Linked DNA regions of Diceros bicornis minor. The main gene of each other region encodes a partner of the protein of the gene in region 2 in a complex. Links are inferred from orthologs where the notes say so. Each region holds a gene or a part of one and is shown on either strand. Other genes may lie near its edges.

Region 1 (7,805 bases), on a different chromosome or scaffold from region 2:
TTAAAAGTGCCATTCTCTTCAATTAACATCTTCTGTTTTTAGAGTTTCTAAATCAACATTACTGCAAACTCTTTAAGTTACTAGCAACATCATACATAATCCAATGGGCAAGGAGTTAAAGGAAATACTGTATGTCAATGTGCCTAGTATAGCCACTAACATATTCACAATACTAATTTCACTTCCTCTCTTCTTTCCATTGCTAAAATTCTAGGATTCTAAAATGTCAACAGCAACCAGTCATAGTATCTTAAAGTACATTAGAGCAATTTTAAAGTAAAGCGTTATGTACCTACCCCAAGAGTACAATCAGTTAGCCCTGGCTAGTAGTAGCGTAAGGTCAGGGAAGTCTCTAGAGGAAGTGAAATCAAACTAAGTCTTGAAAGATCAATAGTTTTCATTGAATATATGAGAGAGGAAGACATTCAGGGTGGAGGGAAAGTTTACTCTGCTTGGGCCAGAGACCTAATGTGCACTATGGTCCTAAACAGTAAACCATCTTCAAAGATTTGTTTTATCATTTTGATATGTGGGTTAACACATTTTAAATATGTAAGAGAAACATTCATTCAATAAATAATTACTGAGAACCAAATGTTTACTAAGCATCAGAGGAAACAATGAAGTTACAATCTATTGAGACCTGTCTAAATAACTAAAACACTCTTTCACATTTTAGGGTACTTTCAATTCTCACTTTTCATTAAAAATACTTTGGAGAAGACATCTTAGCCTGACAGAATCTCAGATAAATCTAGTTTTGGATGTTTATAGAGATAACTTGAAGGAATCAGTACAAAGGAGGCAAAGAAATTCAATTCAGATTTAGTAATTATTCCTCGGGGTATTACCTCTAGGTCAGATATCACTGTAAACAAGCCACTAAAGACCATTAAAAGAATACAATTAGTTATGTTGTAGAGTTCACAAACATCCATCTACAGAACGATTTGAAAAACAAAGTCTCTGTTTTAAAGTTAACGACTGCAACACAGGAATTCAAAGGGACTGAATCTTGAACAATTTAGGTGGAACTGAAGATCACATGCTCAGGATACCTAATTCTTTACAATTAAACAGTGACCCCCTCATTTCTGCCTCATTGCCTACAGACTAACATCCCACCACCAACAAATGGCCTAATGTGGCTTAGTAATGAGTTCCTAACTACCCCTCCATTTCTGCACTGCCCACAACACACACTTCATGGACCAGCCCCTTAAGCTACTTTTGGATCCTTATTGTGCTATGCTCTTTCCACCAAGAACCTGTAATGCTTTCCCCCTACAATACTCTTTTGGAAAAGCCTATTCTTTCCTCATTGTACAGATTAAGCCCCTGGGGTTACATGCAGATTTTTCAGGGAGTATCCGAAGGCAAGCGAGTTCTCAAAGAATCAATTTCTGGATACTCAACTTCCATATATATGCATTTCTAAAATTGATCTGTGGCTGAGGCTCTCTTTTCCCCTTTCTCTTCATCACTGCCTTTCTTCCAGTTTTCAAAAGAAAGGCATTTCCATACCCCAATCTTACACCTTGCATTCACCCAAGGTATGAAAACTTCTGAGACCCCAACTAAGAGATAACTGGATAATTCCTTTAATAAAGGGATTATAAACACCCAATTTCATCTCTTTAAAAGATATACTTCCAATAAAATTTTACTTTGCTTAATAATTATTTATCAAAATTAGTAACCTAAGTTGCTTTTATCAATTGCATACTAATAATTGTAATAATTTAATCCAGAAGAAACTTTTTAACACTTGGAGCCTTACGATCACAGAAAATTTCAATTTGGAGCCTTATAATTACAGAAAATTTCAATTTAAATACATTTTTTTACACAGAGGAGTATGATAGAGTGATCAATAAAATAACTTTTCAAGGTAATTTAAAATCAAATTACCTTAGGATAAATTCTATGGGAGAAATAAAGTGGTATAAATTCACGGGGAAAAAGCAAGTATGTACAATATCTAGCAAAGAGTTTGTTTATATTTAAAAAAAATGATTCATGTGATTATCAAATCACTATAGTATTTATATTCTATTAGATACATTTTAAAGAATGATGTAGCATTTTTATTTTAAAATGCCAATATTCACAATATGGCCAGAAATAATATCCTTTGCATCTGTTTAAACTTATGATAAAAACTTTTAAAAGCCAATTTAAAAATACACAGAAGAGTAATCAGATTTCCATTTTAGAAAGATCATTGGCAGCAATATGGAGAATAACCTGGAGAAAAAGAAACTAAGAGGCCATTTGGGAGACTTGTTATAATCCAGACAAGAAGGTATTAGGCCCCAACTTAGGGAAATAGAATGGTAAGCATAGAACAGATCCAAGATACGATGAAGAGGCAAAATCAGTGGGAACAGAGAGGAGGATGGATTCAAAAGATTTTAATGGAACTTTCTGAATGTGTATCTTGAGGAAAATGGAGGAATTTTGATTGACTCTCGGGTTTCTGGCTGGGGAAACTAGTTTAAAATAATGGGACCACTTCCTAAAGTAGGTAACATAGCAGGTTTGGGGGAAAAGTGAGTTCGGTTTTGGGTACGTGAGTTTGAAATGCTTGTGGGACTGACCATCTGGGTGAAGATACTCATCCAGCTTTTATAGGAATGGACATAAAGTATAGGGAAGGCAAGGTTGCAGGTAGCAGTGGAAGAAGCCCTGGTTACGGCTATGATCATCCGTGGGAGTAGGTAGAAGAGAAAAGGGGCCTAGGGGCCGGCCCCGTGGCTTGGTGGTTAAGTGCGCGCTCCGATGCTGGCGGCCCAGGTTCGGATCCCGGGCGCGCAACGAGGCACCACTTCTCCGTCCATCCTGAGGCTGAGTCCCACATACAGCAACTGGAAGGATGTGCAGCTATGACATACGACTATCTACTGGGGCTTTGGGGGAAAAAATAAATAAATAAAATCTTAAAAAAAAAAAAAAAAGAAAAGGGGCCTAGGATGGAACACCAACACCAAAGGGGAAAGGAGAAGAAAGTCCTACAAAGTTCAGTGCATAATTTATAAGAATGAAAGAATTTCAGTGCCTAGTTCATAACAATGAATGAGTTTTTGTAAAGGAACGAGAGAGGGGAAGAAGTAGACAGACAGATTGGAGAATTAGGAGAAAATCTGTCACAAAACAGAAGCTAAATAGTTTGCCCTGGGTCACACAGTAAGGAGTGGAGCTGGAATTAAAACTTAGGCAGTTTAACTCCAAAGACAGAGCTCTTAACCACCGTACATGGCACTGCCACTCATGACACAGAGGATAGACAAGTTACTCAAGCAAGGTCCCAGGAGAGACAGAAAGAGGGACATTTAGAATATAATTTAAAAGGTTATCTAAGAGGGAAGCAGGTAAGGAAAGCATAAAGTTTTAGACTGGGGGCAGGAAGGTGAGGGACTACTCCTCAGTCTCCTCAATATCCTTTCCCTAGACCTATGGCTTAAACATAAAAAGTTCCCTTCTCAGATTCTTTTCTTTATGTTTTCCACATGGTTTCAAGGGGAAAGAAGACCTAGTCCATCTTTAAATGAATGAGATTTCATTTCTATCCATGCTGGCCTGTGTAGTAACTCCCTTACCAGAAACTTAAAACGTTTCAGGTTGATGACACCCAAACCTAAGCTTAAAACTCCTATTGCCAATGCTTTAACCTAAGGAACCTCAAGAACTGTAGAGAATAAGTTAGATTTCTACATACTAACAAGGAAATATTTCCAAGTTATACCATTAAAGTGAAAAACAAAACAAAACCATTTTGATCCCATTTCTGTAAATAACGATACATATTACCTTTGGCATTGAAAAACATTTGGTATAATACACTCCAGTCTATTAACAGTGGTCCTCTCTGGGGGATGTGGTTATGGGTATTTTCCACTCTTTAATTTCCAATTTTTATGCCCATGTAGTAAACAGGGGGAAAAAATTTTGACCATGCTAGAAGCTTGTGTTCTCTGCTTGACTGAGTTCCTTAGCAGCGAGCGGATCCTATTCACTGCTGTATATAGCAAATAGTAGGGCTCACTAAGATTCTACGACAAAGGAATGAATTAATCAATGAGTACGAGTCTTGACGATCTCACATGGCTGTTGAGAGAACCACAAACCTACAAAAACGCATGCGTTTTCCAGTTAATGTGCAACACAGATCTACGCCGTAAAGGAGGCCAGTTAGTTCAACTTCCCTCCCTCCGTCAGCCTACATTACGATTAAAAAAATCCCGATTACGATTAAAAGTGTCCCTAGGGCATATAAGTGCAGCTTTCGTCAGTAGTTCTCGCTAACACGAACTCATTCTGGCCGTGGGAGAACGGCCACCGGGGCTGGGAAACAGAAGCGGAATCGGCCTTGGTCCGAGGTGTTGTTTCGGGGGAGGCGAATCCCGCCAGCAACAAGCAGCAGTTATGGCCGTTACTCACCATTTTTCGGGACGCCAAACTGGGGCTGGCGGAGCACCGAATTGAAGAGCATCTGGGCCGGAAGAGCAGGCTCAAGTGAGGGAAAAGCCGTGGAGATGCCCCCAGGTTCGGCAGAAAGCGTAGCTTGCGCTGCTCACAACACGATTAGTTATTGCCTCCAACTCCCGCCACTGTAAGCCCCGGCCACCAAACTCCCCGCCAAACTGACGTCACGCCCTCTGATTGGCTCCCGCCGCGGCGTCCGGGCGCCTCCAAGTCACTTCCCCCTTCGAATCCCCGCCTTCTTTTCTCCCAGCCGCGGGAACCTAGAGTTCACGAGCTCCCTGAGCGCCTGCGCAGGGGGCCGCAGAGGAGGTGGCGAACGGCAGGGTGACCAGGGCGCATGCGTAACACGGCTTGACAGAGCGCGGAGGAAAAATCCGCGAGAAGGTGGTGGAAGAAGATGGCGGTGCTGGGGCAGAGTTTGCAATCTCTCTGAATAGACTAGTCGAGTAACTAGTCGGGTCATGGCGTCAAACTCAACTAAGTCTTTCTTGGCAGATGCCGGCTATGGCGAACAGGAGCTGGATGCTAACTCTGCCCTTATGGAATTAGACAAAGGTATTCGAAAGAGCGGGCTGAGCGGGTGAAACGGGCGTGGGGGAAGTGGCGCCACCAGGCGGTGGTAGCCTCGGGAGAGGCCGGGAAGGCGCATGCGCATAGCCTCCCTGGGCGGGGCCGGCTGCCTGTGCTTTTGGTGAGTCCAGCGCTTTTGCTGCTTCAGGAGATAGCAGGAGAGTTGCGGCGTTGCTGGGTTGGCCTTGCACCAGCTGAACAAGTAGCGAGCTCCAGTGGTGGGCCCGTTTTGACCGCCTGAGGGCACAGTTCCCCGATTTTCCAAGCAGTTTCTAAAAATCCTAAATTGAAACTGTGAAATTATTTTTCAGTACGTTCAGTTGAGACCAACTCGTAACCAAGAGTGCTAAATAATAATCTTGCACTGATAACAGCGATTCATTTGATTTCTGTACCTCTGTTACCTGCTGGTTACTAGGCGGATTAAATACGGCCAAGACCCTCGGAAAAGCATAGCCCCTGCTCCTCCTCTGCAGACAAATTTCACGAGTTCTGTTTCCTTACGGGGGCGGGGCGGGGGTGGTGCTGGAGGGCAGCTTGGTGTGGTTGAAGAAGCTTTGGAGTTAGACTGAGTTGAATTCCAGTTCTGCTAATTTTATGGTCTTGGGCAGGTTACTTAACTTCACTTAACCTCAGTTTTTTGTCTGCAAAGTGGGTACAGTATCATTGAGCTGACCAGATTGTTGTAAATATTAAGTGATATAATGATACGCAAAAGAAGCCTTTATTAAGTCTAAAGAGATATGCCTTCTTTCTAGGATATGGATATGGGAAGCAAGGGCAGATATTTGTCAGTAAAGAACTCAAGTATTAAAATGAAGCCTTTGTTTCAGTGTACTTCAGTGGTTTTTATTGAACGCGGGAAGCATTTTGTCACCTGGTATACAGTTAATTCTTGATTAACCATAGCCGGTGTATAATGTATTGAGAACTGGATTAGGGGTTAGAAGGATCTTTCTTTAAGTCCACTTTGAGCAACTCCCCAGCTCTCTGACTTGGACGTTCTAGTAACTTTTTTGGGACTCTGTTTTTTGGATTTGTTGGTTTGTTTTTTAACCTGTAAACATATCTAGTGGGTTGGTCTAGATAAAGGTTTCTCAGACTTTTTTTTTTTTTTTTTTTGTGAGGAGATCAGCCCTGAGCTAACATCCGCCAATCCTCCTCTTTTTTTGCTGAGGAAGACGGCCCTGGGCTAACATCCGTGCCCATCTTCCTCCACTTTATATGGGACGCCGCCACAGCATGGCTTACCAAGCAGTGCGTCTGTGCGCGCCCGGGATCCGAACCAGCGAACCCCGGGCCGCCGCAGCGGAGCGCGCGCACCCAACCGCTTGCGCCACTGGCCCGGCCCCTCTCAGACTTTTTAAAAAGCTTTTAACTCCTTTTGATCAACATGAAAGTGTCACAACACTCCAGTGATATAATCGTTTGGTTGAATCACAGTATCTTTAGCGCATCCCCATCCGCCAAGAAAATGATGTTGAGCTTTGCTTTCTCTTGCCAAAGCTATAGGATTTTTTCCCTCTGAAATATAAAATTGTGACTTTAAATGTGTTTTTTTAACACTTCGTAATCTTTTCCTTCCCATTCTGATAATTCCTTCCTTATTCCCCAGTGAGAGTTGCAGGTCCTGATATGTAATATCCTTACCAATTCTAAGACATTTTCTACCACCTTGGTGGGCTCGTCTCATAATGACAGTAAAACAGTGCTTGTAGAACAGAGATCACAATGGGACTCCGTATTAGAAATCTAGAATTGTTTAATTCCTAAACATTTGCAATTATGGTAAGAAAAAAATACATCACAATTTTTCATTCTTAAAAGTTGAAATAGATATATTTCAGATCTATAAGAAATAAATGGATGGCTATTGAGCGTTTAACTGTAAACCAGGTGTCAGTCCTAGATACTAAGGAAGTGATATATTGTTCAGTCTTCTCAGCAATGCCCTGGTGAGTATTTTTCAGATGAGTCTCAGAAGGATAGATTGGACACGACGAGAGCAAAACTTTTGTTCTTTTTCACCTCAGCATGCTATACCTTTTAAATCTGTTAAGAGATTAGATTATAGAAATAGCCAGTTTCATTAGAATATAGTTTAGTATTTTAAATATTGAGTCATTTCATCCTTTAGCTGTTAAAGTATTTCTGTTTTGTGAGCCAAAGTTCAGAGGGTCAGAAGGCTACAGATTCCAGCTTTCTTTTAGTTCCAAAACTTATAGACCAGTTTCAGAAAGTGCACCCCAAGAAATACTATTTCTGAAGTATTTTAATAGGAGTTTCTTCCTCCGTATCCTCTCGCCCTTTTCTTCTCTCTCTCCCTCCCTCTCCTGACAACATACAGACACTCAGACACTCACACTCACATACATCACTTATTTGATCAGGCTTTGTGCTAGGGAAACAGCAATGAAACAAAACAAAGCCGCTCCCCTTATTGAGTTTATATTCTGGACAGAGAAAACAGACAATAAACAAATATAGTAAGCATGTATTGTGACAGATAGTGATACATATTATAAAGAAAACAGAAACAAGTGAAGGGAGCTGGAGAAAACTGGGTATGGGGTTGGAATTGGTTTGTTAATTTTATATAGGATAGTCAGGAAAGGCCTCACTGATCAAATAAAGGAACAGCAAATGCAAAGAAAGGCCTTGAGATAGGAGCCTGCTTTGCTTGCTGTACCTTGAGCAGAGTGATTGACAATGAAGGTAGAAAGATAATCAGAGGCCAGTTCCTGTAGGGC
Region 2 (7,627 bases):
CAGTAACTAAATGCTCTTGGAAAGTGTCCAAGACAATGTTATGGTAAATATCCAACTTGTTTCATCTAAAATCAAGAAAAACAAGTTACCTGAAGCACTAGATTATGTTTAAGTAGACTCTAACTAAAAGTTTTACATCAAATAATCACTTGGAAAAATCTTTACTCTGTACTTATGATGGGCTCTAAGACCAGTAAGGGTCATCTGGGGAGATAGCCACACCTAGGAATCTAAGTCACATATTACTTAATACTACTTTGAGAAACATTTTAATCCCAATAGCTTCCATTTTGAAAGAAATAGATTTTGGCAGAATCTGTTAAAATAATGGTGTAAAATGTGCTGGTGGTTCTCTGGTTTCTAGCTTGAGCCACTGCTGAGAGTCTCCTGTTATTTGTGGTTCAGATTCCTTTTTTACAGGTTGCATGTCTGATAGATATTTACCAATTTCAGCTATAAACAAACATAAAGGCGCTTTATATATGTGAGTGCATACGTGAACGTACATACATGACACTCTAGACAAGCTGTGATTTCTACTTAAAACAACTTTTTTATAAATTGAAGTTCTACTAAATTGAGAAGTAAAAACCAACAGTTAAGAGAAAAACCTAGCCAAATAGCAAAGGGAGCTATAAAATTAACTCTGGAAGCCAAAAAACCTAAATAAAGCAGGTTCATAAAACAAACCCGACAGATTTTCACTCAGCACTTACAAGTTTATAAATGTTTACGTTTTTAAAAAGTTGAGTGGTACACCAACTTTAATTTATGAAAAATGACATCCTGTGATAAATTTCTAATTCCCAAGAGAAATAATTCAAGTTTAAAGATCTGAATACAAAAGTAATTGAAGGAAGAGCTGTAAAGAAATGAACAGAAAAAGTAAATGTGGTTTTACAGGAAACATGGAAGCTTTCTGAAACATTAAAAGTGGAATGGACTGAATATAACACACAAAAGACCCAAAATGAACAAATTAAGCATAAATATTCCTAATGTGTTCAACATCTACTGAAATAAGCAATTCCATTCCACTCCATACTTGCCACAAAAATTGCCATAAATTGGTTACTTCTATTTTTTTAAATGATGAAACAATGAGAGATTTGTTGCAATATATTTTATAACTTACCAATAGTGAGCTATTAAGTTTCTATTAGTGATGCTTCAACTAAGGATTTGCACTAAGATGACTGAAATCTGTTCGTACAGCAGTGAAATTGAAGCCTCACTAAAGACATTCAACATAAAGCTGACCCCTAAAGGCTCCTTGATGCACATTTGCAACCACAGTAGCCAGGATATGCAGTACACTAAACTAGCAACAGATTGGTTAAAAACTGTTTGGATTTTCAACTTCCCATAATACAGGCAGCATTTTTAGAAGCAACTGTATTAAAATAAATACGTCTTTCACAGTTACGGGATGAAATTTTAAGCTGGACAGGCACCAATGCCCTGATTTTCTACTTTTTTCGTAAACCATATGACTTCCACATGCTGAGAATGTTTTATGCTTTAACCTGCAGTAAAGGCTTTACATCATTTTAATGCTCAGTGCTTAACATGCAACAGAATCACCTTCAATGAATGCAAGGAATATATTTCGTTTACTTTAATGATTTCAACCAGACTAGTAGTCAGAAAAAGTTTAATGAAAGCTTTGCTCAGTAAGTAACTTTGCATTTCCATAGAAGAAAACAGACAAAAAATCTGAGGTAACGTTGAGTGGAACAGAAAATACTCTTATATTTTTCCAACTCAACAAAATTTTAGTTTTTTAATTTCTAAAATAAATATTGAACATTTTAAAACTCTATGTCTAACAGAATATCTTTCAGCAAAAAACAAAACAAAACACTGTTATATAGTTACATAGGATTTTTCTCCAGTTTTTGCAAAGTAATGTTTCAAGCTGACACAGAAGGTTAAAACAAACCTAGTCTATAACAAACTAAAGGCTCAGCTTTGTACCAACATATTCTATATTCTAAATTCGAGATTCAGACGACATCAATTTTTTTTTATTCAGGTCAATCTAAATATATACGCTACCTCATGCTTATAGTTAGCTTATCTGTGTGAATGAACCACAGAAATTTCAAATCAAAGGTTATAAAACATATCATAAAATTACACGCTGTATCTACATCACTTTCAGTTTTCATGAAACCTAAGGTCCTTTACTGATAGGTTCAAGAATTGATAAGTTTGGAGCAGAATATGTAAATACATTAAATTTTCAATAGTCAAACAAGAAATTATGCCAATTTCTCTAGTTATTTAAAAGTCCATTACACTAAAAACTGTCACAGAAGAAGGGTTACTGAAAAACGTTATTTCAGACTAAGGGAAGTACAAAACATGATCCTAAATTCTCCTGGTGTAATGTTATTAAATATTAAAGACTGTGAGAAACAAGAGATGTTGCAATCCTCTTCCCTTTATAACTCTAATTGAAACTTGAGAAAAAAAATCAGAATTCAGATTTTCCGAACTTGGTTTTATAAACATAATTCAACTAGATCTAACAACTTAGTTGTGTGATTTTAAAATAAGTTTAACGCAAAGCTCTGCAATCCTGATTCGTGATAATCACCTGAAACATAAATGCAAAATAAAAACAAATGCAAATCCTTTTCATCTGATGATGCATTTTATAGTAGAACCACAAAAAAGCACAACAATATTAGCAGAAACTAAACAAACATACACAAGAGGCATTATGTCCATCCAGGAAGAGAAATGTACCATGCCAAGAAAGAAAGGAAGGACTGAAGGAAGGAAGAAGGGAAGGAAGGAAGGAAGGGAGGGAGAGAAGGCAGAGGTTTCTATACTTGGAGGATCCCAGAAAAATAAACTAGCGACATCAATCTACCCTATAGGATACATAAGGTTTTTTACAGCTTCAGGGTAAATAAAAATAGCACTTTATGCCATTCAACTTTATATAGTATAGTATCTTTAATGCCAACTGCATTCTCCCCTACACTCACCCAGTGCTTCCTCACTCTTCCATACCAGCTTTCAGACAAATGCGAGACAGAACAGGGTGGGGTAGAAGAAAAATACAAGAAGCGCCTTTCAGCTACTCCCCCGCCCCAATAATTTCCAACCGTTTTTCCTACTACGAAAATAAGTCGCCCTATCTCAAGATACACAACAGTCATTCTGTCTCTAGTAGACACACAGAGACACACACACATGTCAGCACTCCCGACCCCTACCCCACGCCCCCGAATCTTAAGTAATGTTTAATATGTTTAACACGAGACGACGAGATACCTCTACCTACTATTTCGGGGTGAGGGTGGGTGGAGGACTCCTTTCAAAGTAGCCCCAATAGTGTAACCAAAACACGGTTCCGGAATAAAATATTAAGAACACTTTTCCTTTCCCACCTATCTACCGACTTAAGGATGCAAAAATCCATCTCCACACATCTCCTGCCCGGAGTTTGGGGCGGAGATCTGGCCGGGGAGGGGGCGGGGAGAAGTAGTGGGAGCGGGCAGCAGGACACAAACGAGTTGCTCACCCCAGCTACCCCGCACCACGTCGCCAGCCCGAAGGGCCAGCAGCCGGACCTCATGCACACTTCTCTGCCCAGGCCCAGTTAAAAGCTATGGCTCCAGCTATCTAACTTCCTATCTATAGACATTTATTCAAGACTAACATATCACACAAGTACACGTCACACAGTTTAGCACACAGTTATACACCCCAAACAAACCCACACACCTCAAATTCACCTCACAGTTTCCCAAACTCCAAACAGGAGACCCCCACCTCCAGGATTCAAACCTTGCGCCCATAGTGCAGGAAACCAGGAGAAAAGAGTTGGGGAGCAGCCGACGCCTTTCAATTACCGCCCCCCACAAACTACCCCACCCCATACCCTGCGTCCGTGTTACTCACTAGGAAGCCCCCCGCTTCCTCCCTTCTCTCAATCGGGCCGCTTAAGAGACCCATCCCCAGCCCACTTACTTTCCCCCCAAAACCTCTCCAAAAAAAAAAAAAAAGTGAAGAGAAAGAAGTGAGGAGAGAGACTTGAGGTAGTCCGGCTTCAAAACCGCTCGACTCACCTCAGAATCCTTGCTGAGTTCTCTCCGCCCGGCACAGCCCCCTCCCCAACGTCCCAGTACGAAGGGCTGAGGTAGGGAGGAGGGGAAAACGGGAGGGGGAGGGGTGTCTTCCGCGTGGGGCGCTCGTCGGGATGGGTCTGGGGAGGGGTTGAGGCCGGCGCAGGAAGAGGAGAAGGGGGAGGGGAGGCCCCTATCTCCCAGTCTACCCCTGAAAACCTCCCTTGTCTCAATCACATCAGACTGACTGTCTTTGTCTGGCTGACAACCGCCATATTGATAGCAACAGCCCCTCTCCCACCTGCTGCAGCCGGGCGGCCCTGGGAGTTGTAGTTCTGCCTCCCTTGAGTAAAAGGGCGAGACTTGGCGTCCAGAGGCCCCAGGGAACTACAGCTCCCGGCAAGTCCCGCGCCCATCCGCCTCCCCAAAGGGAGGAGGAGACAGGGGCGCCAGAGCCCTGGGAACTACACATCCCAGAATACCATGGGTCCCAGGCCCAGAAGAGGGACATGATATCACGCTAGGGTGGAGAGGGAAGATGAATTGGCGGCAGGGAAGAATTTGAGCTGACGGAAGGCGGTGTTCGGAGAGGAAAGAGAGGAAAAGGAAAGATGACCACAGGTCCCATGATGCTTGGAGAGATGACTACATTTCCCATGATGCCCCGGGAAGGGGGCGTAGGGAAGAAAGACTGCGTGTCCCGCGATGCTCTCGGTGGGCCGGTGGTAGAGATTGAACCGGAAGACGCTTTCTGGGTTTGAGGGAGTCGGGTGACTGGAGTTAAACAACCAAAAGTCCAATATGAAACTGGTGAGTTTTCGCATCTAGGTCACAGGGCAAAGGTGATGCCATATCCTTTTGGACTTCGTCGTTTCCACCTTGAGAAGGGTACCGTCGTGGAGGAGGGGTGGCAGTTAGGGAACTAGAAAGTGGGGTGGACTGAGGAAAGCTGCTGTTGGTTGTTGAGGCTTTTTGAATCCCACCTCACACTCCCCCGCACGCGATTGCCAGGAGATCTTATTCATCCCTTGGCGGGTCCCTTTGGTAGCTAAGAGGTTGACTATCACCTTTCTTCACCTAGGAACTAAGGTTGGACTTGAACTAAGTTTGACTTGTTTCTCAGCTGCCACGTGAGTGTTACAATAGGTTGTTAACTTCTGTCCACGCGATTGGCCCTTCATTATCGTTTCCCTCTACCGTTGTAGAGAAGGCTTAGGTTAAATGTGAGCAGAGTAGAAAATAATTTGGCAGAGCGTTATCACTTATTAAATTTTCTTCTTTAGACTCCTAACTGCCCTTGGAATTCAGAGGAGGTCAGGGTGTGATCTTGGAGAATTTGACCAACCCTGTATAAGATGGGCTGAGAGGAAGTGTTGAGGCATTCCAGTCTAGGGCTGTAGCGAGTGCATGAGCCAAGGTTAGATGGAGCATACCAGTATACCTAGAGAAGTCTTTTCATCTCAAAACTCAAACGCTTGACTTATAGGAAAGCTTCTCAGACCTTTATTTTGAGCCATTTTACTCTCGTGCACACAGATCTAACTAGTTTATTCCAACTCTATGGAATTAGTAATAGCATAATTAAGAGTAGAAAAGCAGGTGTGAAATGCTGGTTCTCAACCTTTTAAAAATCCATGTTCCTGTGGCCACGTATTGTCAAGCTTTACTTTCTGTACCTGTTTTTTTTTTTTTTGGTGGGGAAGATTGGCCCTGAGCTAACATCTGTGCCAATCTTCCTCTATTGTTTATATGTGGGATGCTGCCGCAGCATGGCTTGAGGAGCGGTGTGTAGGTCTGTCCAGGATCCAAACCCCCAAACCCTGGGCTGCTGAAATAGAGTGCGAGAACTTAACCACTATGCCCTGGGGCTGGCCCCATACTTTCTGTAATTTTTATACAAAAACAAAAGGTTTATTTTCTTAATTATTTGAACATGCTTTTCCAGAGCACACATAAATGCTACAGGCATATACTCTGCAAAGTGTCAGCTGTTTTCTGAGGAATCAGAGAATGTATTAAAAGTAGATTCAACTACAAAACTGTCTCCATTTAAAGACGTTTGTGTAAGGGAAAGGGTACAGATCAGTAAACCTTGAGAGTATCAGTTTGATTCTGGGTGGTTGTGTGAAACATTTAAGAATGCAGAATTGAAAGTCAACGCCCTTGCCCTAAAGAAGCATGCAGTCTACTGCAGAAGATAGAAAAGTAAGCCAGAATTATAATTCACTGTATTCATGGTAAATGAAAGGCATGTTCAGGATTTGGGGAATTGATGATGACTGGGGGGGTGGGGGGAGTCAGAGACAACTTCCTGGAAGGGTAACTGTTGAACTGATAAGAAGGATGAGTAGGCTAGGGCTGTTCATGAAGACAGTTCAGCTTATAAAAGCAAAAGAGCTTGGCTCCTAAATGGTTGGAACACAGACCATATGTCCTCAATAAAGGACATGGAAGGGAAAAAAGTAGAAACTTTTTTTTCCTTTAAGAACCAAAAGATACCTCAGAGAAAGAGAAAGTGTTCTATCTATACTCCCTCCCTCTTTACTTTCAAGCCACGTATTACATACTAAAACTCATTTGGTAGTTGATAGATGATCTATAATGTGGAATTTGTATCAACATAGCAAAGTGGTTTCAAAAACATTGACGCTCACTAAGTTAGACTTCTGTGTGTCGTGCCTCCCATAGAGTTGGAATAAATCCTCCCAGGGCCTAAAATTTTTAACTTTGTGTACTGCTTCAGGAATATGTACTAAGCCATATTTTACATTTATAATCGTGAAATGCAGAAATACATTTTTTTGAGCACTTTCTTGTTTTTGAGATTATGACTTCCAAAATACCCTTCCCATGTACAATCTATGACTACATCTTGTTGATTCTACTTCTGTTCTTGAATAGATCTGTTTCTCTCCTGTCCCACTAATACTGCCTTTGTATGGGCTCTTTTCACATGACACTTGGAATTCAACAAGATCGTCTAACTGGTCTCTCTGCATTCAGTGTTAACCCTCTCCAATCTATTCTCTACTCTGCATCTCAGAAGTTGTTTTAAATTGCAGAGTTTCATAAAACCCTCAGTAGCTTCCTTTGCCCTTAGGATAAAGTCTTACAATTCTTAACTTGGCTTACTTGGTTCTGTAGAATATGACCCTGCCTACCTCTCCAGGCTTGTGTCTAGCCCTCATCTTGCTTGGTCTCCTTGTTTCAATTATATTGCACGTCTTCCAGTACCTTGAACTCACCCTACTCTCGTTTGCCTCTAGGATTTTAAATATGTTCCATTGCCTACAACACTTTTTTGCCTGCCTAATTTCTTCATATATTTCAGATCTCTCTTTAAATAGCACTTCTTCGAAGTCTCCTTGAATTAGGTACCCCTGTTATATACTTCCATGGCACACTTCCGTTTTGTTACACTTGTGATTATTGGTTTTATGTCCGTCCTCCCTCATGTAAACTCTGTGTATTCCCAGGGCCTGACATATAGTGTGATGCCACTAAATAGTAGTTGAATAAATAATTTCTGAAGGATTATCAAAGTC

Evidence for each region. The genes of interacting proteins can lie anywhere in the genome.
Region 1: INTS9 (region 2) and INTS7 share a complex: the UniProt entries of both Homo sapiens proteins name them as parts of the integrator complex. The link is inferred for Diceros bicornis minor from reciprocal best matches to the Homo sapiens genes INTS9 and INTS7.

What each region holds. Positions count from the first base shown.
Region 1 is NC_080743.1:77,746,472-77,754,276, reverse strand, and holds the start of INTS7 (integrator complex subunit 7), read left to right. Parts: upstream 1-4,799; 5' UTR 4,800-4,946; coding exon 4,947-5,040; intron 5,041-7,805. Other genes in the region: DTL (denticleless protein homolog), read right to left, coding at 4,441-4,492. UniProt on the Homo sapiens protein: Component of the integrator complex, a multiprotein complex that terminates RNA polymerase II (Pol II) transcription in the promoter-proximal region of genes.
Region 2 is NC_080750.1:64,983,854-64,991,480, forward strand, and holds the start of INTS9 (integrator complex subunit 9), read left to right. Parts: upstream 1-4,620; 5' UTR 4,621-4,883; coding exon 4,884-4,892; intron 4,893-7,627. UniProt on the Homo sapiens protein: Component of the integrator complex, a multiprotein complex that terminates RNA polymerase II (Pol II) transcription in the promoter-proximal region of genes.